2 linked regions of the Sus scrofa genome follow. The protein of the gene in region 2 purifies or fractionates together with the protein of the main gene of each other region. This does not show direct contact. Links are inferred from orthologs where the notes say so. Each region holds a gene or a part of one and is shown on either strand. Other genes may lie near its edges.

Region 1 (3,821 bases), on a different chromosome or scaffold from region 2:
AATTCAGAATGAGTTCTAGGAAGCAAAATACCCTAAGAAAACACAAAAATAAAATCACAAGTCTGTATCAAAAGAAGTACTAATGGTATTTCCCCACCAACCTGACCCCCCTCAAAGACAGTCTCATTGTGATACACTTCCACTGTATCTGAAGACAAAGAGCAGCTCCTGCTGTGGCGCAGCAGGTTAAGGATCCGAGTTGTCTCTGAGGTGGTGAGAATTCAATCCCAAGACCGGTGCAGTGGCTTAAGGATCCAGCGTTGCCATAGCTGTGGCATAGGCTGCAGCTATGGCTTGGATTAGATCCCTGGTCCAGGAACTTTCATATGCTGCAGGTGCAGCCCCCCAAGAAAGGCAAAGAGAAGTTACCAATTCTATGAAAAAAGCAGAAAATGAGTAAGGGTCCATAAAAGCAAGGTTCTACTCTCAGCTCTGCCACCAATTCAGTGCTGTCCTCTGGGCTTCTCAGACATGACGTCTTTTTTCCAGCTCTAACATTTGCGACCCAGCTAATGCAGCTTGACTTTAACAGATCAGCTAAGAAATGGAGAATTCCTAAGTTCCCTCCTTTGGGAGTGTCTGGATGAGGACTGGACATGCGAGGCAAGGCCAGAGCGTGAGGCCATGGCAGGGAAAAGTCATTCACTGGGATTACGTAGAAAAAATCCCCCCAAATACCCTGTACCTTTCTTCATCATGTCTCGGTCCAAGGCAACGTTCCTTTGGGAGAGATTTACTTCTGATCGAAAATGGAAGCGCTTGGCTCGCTGTTCTTTCTTTTCAATTGCTTCCTAGAAAGTACAGAGCCAGAGAAGGGAAACGTGGAGGAGGAAAGTTAAATCACATACACAAAATGAGGCACCAGTGATAAGCCTAAAAGACTCCAAAGGAACAAGCAACATTGTCTTTAATTGCGTAGAGAATTGGATATTCACACGCAGCTCGGATCCAAGTTGCTGTGGCTACGGCTCTGATTAGGCCCCTAGCCTGGGAGCGGCCCTAGAAAAGGCAAAAAGACAAAAAAAAAAACCAAAAAAACCCAAGAATTTGATCTTCACAATCAGTGACTGGGAGGATGGACCCTGATGATGCTATCGTTGGGAGCGAGCGCCATAATGACTCTATGGCCATCACTGCACGGAGCGGAGCAGTCGCAACTCAACAGTGTGTGCTGACCCAACGAGCAATGAAGGAAGCTTTCGTGCTCTGACATTTCACTTACTACCAGCCACCATGGAAACGAATTACAACAAAATTAACATTCCATTTTCCAGGCGCAGAAACTGAGGCGTAAAAAAGTCAAAAGGTTTGCTAGAGACACTTCAGCTAGGAAGGGGGAAAATTTTCTGCTCAGTGCTATTTCTAGAAGCCCTCCCACCACCCCCATTTCAGGCTGTCTGCGTGCATGGTAATCACACCTATCCCATTATGTCTGCCTGAGCAGACCACTCCCTAAAGCTCCCTCCTTGTGGAAAAATAACACTGGAGCAATGAAACTCTCTTCTCTATTCTTAACTTGTGTCCAGGGAATTGCCAGTTTTCATCTTGAAGTGACAAGAAGCACTGCTGCTTCACTGAAAAATAAAATAAACAGTTTCCTAAGGTTTTTTTCCCCCAAGAGCTAAAATAACTCCAGATCCAACTGTGAGTTCCTGATAGCTCTTAGGAAGCGTCATTAACTGTATACTGACTTTGCCACACTAATTGAAGGTCTGACTATAAAAAACTTGTGAGGGGAGTTTCCACTGTGGCACAGTGGAAATGAACCTGACTGGGAACAATGAGGTTGCGGGTTTGATCCTTGGCTTCGGATCAGTGGGTTAAGGATCTGGCATTGTTGTAAGCTGTGGTGTAGGTCGCAGATTAGGCTTGCATCTGGCGTTGCTGTGGCTGTGGTGTAGGCCGGCAGTTGTAGCTCCAATTAGACCCCTAGCCTGGGAACCTCCATGTGCCACGGGCGACCCTAAAAAGCAAAACAAAAAACAAACAAAAAAATCAAAAAACAAAACCCATGAGGATAGGTAAAGCAGCAACACTTCTGTTATTTCCCAACAATTACACTAATTTTCTTTTTCTTTTCTTTTTTTTTTTTTTTTGTCTTTTTGCCTTTTCTAGGGCTGCTCCCGAGGCACATGGAGGTTCCCAGACTAGGGGTCGAATCGGAGCTGCAGCTGCCAGCCTACGCCAGAGCCACAGTAACGCCAGATCCCTAACCCACTGAGCAAGGCCAGGGACTGAACCCACAACCTCATGATTCCTAGTTGGATTCGTTAACCACTGAGCCACAATGGGAACTCCAGACACTAATTTTCTTCACTCAAGTCTTCCCAGTGGAAACAACTAAACTACCTTCCTCTAGTAACGACTAAAATAGCAATTCTGGGCTACTACCCCTTTCCCCATACATTTGTTTCATATAATGGTAAACTGTGTAGGATTAAGAACATACTGTATACATCCTTTTCAATTACAATAAGAAAACATTTCTCTTTATTTTGTCTTCTTGTCAAAAAAGATGATCAGTTCCTTTGGCTTTTAAGTAATCTGAGGCAGACTGAGACCCAGATAAAATATAAAATAGTAAGCATGACATACTTATTTTTATTCTTGCTTTCATACATCCAAAACAGTAATGCAATATTATTTATTCAGAACTGTAATTCAAACTCTGTTCCAAACTTAATTACGCACATTAAAATCAGAAAGAATGTTTAAACTAAATTAAAGCAACAAATAAGTATCAACTGTTTTTTTTTTTTTTTGTTTTTTTGTTTCTTGCCTTTTCTAGGGCCGCTTCCCTCAGCATATGGAGGTTTCCAGTCTAGGGGTCGAATCAGAGCTATAGTACACCACAGCCACAGCAACTCGGGATCCAGGCAGAGTGTGCAACCTACACTACAGTTCACAGCAACGCCAGATCCTTAACCCACTGAGCAAGGCCAGGGATCGAACCTGCAACCTCATGATTCCTAGTCGGATACATTAACCACTGAGCCACTACAGGAACTTCAGTATCAACTGTTTATAAGAAGGAAAATAATACATTTGGCTCTGTGAGGAGTTACAATGAAGCTGGTAACGTAGTGCTAGCAATCACTAGATAAAAGCAATATTCCCAGGTACTGAGAAAAATTCAATCAACTTGGCCTTCAAAGTTTAACCACATAACCAGGAAGTCCTATTTTCCTAATCCTAGGCCTCAACCAGTGAGGATAAAGATATTTACTGAGGGCCTACTATGTGCATTCTGCTTCTTTTTTTTTTTTTTTTCTTGTTTTGTTTTTTGGGGTTTTTTTTTTTGTCTTTTTTGCTATTTCTTCGGCGCTCCCGCGGCATATGGAGGTTCCCAGGCTGGGGTCGAATCGGAGCCGTAGCCACCAGCCTACGCCAGAACCACAGCAACATGGGATCCGAGCTGAGTCTGCAACCTACACCACAGCTCACGGCAACACCGGATCATTAACCCACTGAGCAAGGGCAGGGATCGAACCCGAAACCTCATGGTTCCTAGTGGATTCATTTCCACTGCGCCACGACGGGAACTCCCCGTTCTGCTTCATTTAAAGTGGAAACAGTTTACACGTTTTTACTTTTATTTATTTGTCGTCGTCTTCTTTTTTTTTTTTTTTTTTTGTCTTTTCCAGAGCCACACCCATGGCATATGGAGGTTCCTAGGCTAGGGGTCTAATTGGAGCTGTAGTGCTGGCCTACGCCAGAGCCACAGCAATGCCAGATTCTTAACCCACTGAGCAAGGCCAGGGATCGAACTCGAAACCTCATGGTTCCTAGTTGGATTTGTTAACCACTGAGCCACAACTGGA
Region 2 (3,248 bases):
AACTCTTCCTCTCGCTGAGCCACCTTACCCTCTTCTTGTTCCGACTTCTGTTCTTCATTACGCACCACCTGATGCTCTTTTTCCTTCATTGATTGTCTTCTAGGCCTAGCCTCCATTTTATTTATTTGTTCTGCAAATTCGATGCGTCTACCTTCAAATAAAGCTAAAGAATAAAAATGTATGTGTAAAGTTTACTAACAATGGTTTGAAAATTCAAAGTCATAAACTGACACCTGGTCACAAATTATCACTGAGCTTAATTGAAATGTCTTTTTTGCAAAGAGATGATGACAAAAAATTATGCCAAGTCAGTTTATGGTATCATATTATGCATTAATTTTTGATTCCAAGGAGAGACAAATCAATCTAATCACCGTCTTAGCAGTGTATACTCTTCTATGTGTGCTCCCTCTATGGACTACATCAATGCTGACTTTTTTTCCTTGATTCATTAGCATTTATATCTGGTCATTAGGAGCATCAAGCAAAAAAAGAAGTCATCTCATTCAAATGCTTAAGAACTAAATGTGCATTAAGCACCACCTACAGTATATAAATTTTGGGTTAAAATCTATCATGAAAACAAATGCTCCTGCGTATCAAACACATTAACATCTTAGAATATCGTTCTAAAAAATTAACTACTGAATCACAATTGTTACAGAAAACAAACATATGTATTTATGAGTGTGTTACCTTACCCATTAAAGAAATTTCCACGCACCTCTCCACTGCACACTTACCATTCATTTTTCTCTGTGACTCTTCTATCAGTTTTTGGGTAGCTGGACACATTCTTCCAGGAATATAGAACAAATGGGGCTTTGTCTTAGTTCTTATATATTTAATTATCTTGGCATTATGCTCATTCCATTCTTCTTGCTAAAGAAAAGGTAAAAGATCACTGCCTTTGTCATAATAAGGGATCACCAATCTCAGAATTCCAAAATATACTCACCAGCTGCGCAAGCTCAACCTTCTGTTCCAAAAGCCGCAGTTCTGTCTGTTTAGCACGTCTCTCTTCAAACAGTTCTCTCCTCTCATTTTCAACCTGTTTTCTTTCTTCTTCTGCCTGCACTTCAAGTTTTTGTTCAATTTCCTGACGTCTCTTTTGCTAAAGATAAACAATAACCTTTAAAAGCTTATTACACATCCTGATTGTGTGAAACATTAAATTTCTTTTTTTAAGTCTTTTTAGGGCCGTATCCACCGCATGGAAATATGTATTTTAACAGCTGAAGTATCTTTAATGCCTGCCTGTAAGTTGAATTCTTAGTTATCACTTTTTTTTTTTTTTTTTGTCTTTTTAGGGCTGCACTTGTGGCATATGGAAGTTCCCAGGGGTAGAATGAGAGCTGCAGCTTCTGGCCTACACCACAGCCATAACAACACCAGATCTGTGACCTACATGGCAGCTCATGGCAGCAACGCCGGATACTTAACCCACTGAGTGAGGGCAGAGACCAAACCCACATCCTCATGGATACTAGTCGAGTTCTTAACCTGCTGAGCCACAACAGGAACTCCCATGAAACATTAAAATTTTACTGTTGTATGCATACATTTTGCACCTGCAATTTAGAACACCAGCTAATTCAAATGTGGCATTTGAGGTAATCTGCAATTTTTCTTTCAGGAAATGGGGACTAAAGCCTTTTCACGTAAAAATGTTTTTAAAGCCATTAGGGATAATATCAATAGCTGTTCCTTTCCAATATAATTTACGAAAAACCTTAACTAAAAGTTATCCTAAAAAACAAGTACTGTTTATAGGTTATCTTGAGTTATTCTTTCCAAATCAAAGAATTTGTGAAGTGATGTCTTAGTAAATGAAGTAAAAAACTAGTCAACTCTACATTTTAAAAACCCAGACTTATTCTTCAAACATTAAGATACTTTAAGCCTTTTATATTCTCTAATAAAGTTAATATATAAAAGCTGAAATAAAATTTTATCAATCTCCTATAACTGAATTGTTATCTCCCTTTTACTATAGTGCTCCCCTAAGAAGCAATAACGTGGTGTTCAACTCCAAAGACACAATTACAATTCTGTTGCTTCAGTAAAATAAAACCTTCCTAAAAGGTGACACAGTTAAACTAAGAAGGGCAGGGAATATAATCTATGTTTTTGCTTCTAAAGTCCCTCTAAGTGCATTAAGTCTTAAAAATTAGAATTACTGAATTAATTACTGATGATTAACAAGTTCAACTTCCGGTTTGAAAGAATGCACTCTAAGGCCTAAAGAAATGAAGACTTGTCCAAGACAATGGAATGAGATTGATATAGAGCTGAGAACAGAATCCAAGTTCTCCCGAGTCAGACCAAGTCCTCTAAACGATAAGAAGTTCACTAAGTTATTTAACGGCACTTCAAAAAAGACCAATTAATAATTGTAGAAAGTTTCTACAGGTTTTCCTTGGCTTCATGTAGGCTTGCAATTAAACTTTTTTCCCGAAAAAGGAAGTTATCAGTTACCCACTTTTTGAAGCCTTCAATTAAATCTTTTTGGGGGGGGGGCAGGTGCAGCATATATGGAAGTTCCCAGGCTAAGGGTCAAATTGGAGCTGGCCTACCCCAGAGAAATGTGGGATCTGAGCAGAGTCTGTGACCCACAGTTTGAGGTAACGCCAGATCCCTAACCCACTGAGCAAAGCCAGGGACTGAACCCACATCCTCATTCATATGAGTTGGGTTCCTTTCCGTTAAGCTACAACAGGAAGTGGAACTCCCGCAATTAAATCTTAAGAGAACTTTTCAGCTCTTTTTAAAAATATGCAATCAGCTACTTTGAAAACTTAGAGGAAGCAAAGGAAAAAGTGCACATATACCCTTTCAGTAGCAACAGTGGATTCTTGTTTAAATTTCTGAAGCGTGCCCATCAACAAGCCAAATATTCGTCGGTTCCTAAAGAAAAGAAAAAGAAAATCCAATTTCAAAAGGTTCCACTTCATTTAAGACTGCCATTTGCTAGAAGAAACATACAATAGACATAGGAACAATTCCTTAAATTTTCTTTAAATTACATTATTTAACAAGAGTTGTTTTCCTCCAGAAGGATACTAATGATACCTTTGCTTTCCCTTTTCATCCATATTTTGATCCTGGATAAGGTCTCTACGAGTGCGCTCTTTGGAGGTAGCTACAACTGAAGACTGCAAAGCTGGCTGTAGGAGAAAAGAAATTTCTGTCATTTCACTAGCATATGGGTGGCACTCTTTTAAATGTAGTAAGGTGAAAAGGCTATA

Evidence for each region.
Region 1: the proteins of PNN (region 2) and NCBP3 purify together in Homo sapiens (co-immunoprecipitation; 3 studies listed by BioGRID and IntAct, counting the BioPlex papers as one, with this or other methods). This does not show direct contact. The link is inferred for Sus scrofa from reciprocal best matches to the Homo sapiens genes PNN and NCBP3.

The regions. Positions count from the first base shown.
Region 1 is NC_010454.4:49,912,113-49,915,933, forward strand, and holds part of NCBP3 (nuclear cap-binding protein subunit 3), read right to left. Parts: intron 792-3,821; coding exon 686-791; intron 1-685. UniProt on the Homo sapiens protein: Associates with NCBP1/CBP80 to form an alternative cap-binding complex (CBC) which plays a key role in mRNA export. NCBP3 serves as adapter protein linking the capped RNAs (m7GpppG-capped RNA) to NCBP1/CBP80.
Region 2 is NC_010443.5:169,728,423-169,731,670, reverse strand, and holds part of PNN (pinin), read right to left. Parts: intron 3,168-3,248; coding exon 3,073-3,167; intron 2,908-3,072; coding exon 2,832-2,907; intron 1,115-2,831; coding exon 959-1,114; intron 883-958; coding exon 744-882; intron 164-743; coding exon 1-163. UniProt on the Homo sapiens protein: Transcriptional activator binding to the E-box 1 core sequence of the E-cadherin promoter gene; the core-binding sequence is 5'CAGGTG-3'. Capable of reversing CTBP1-mediated transcription repression.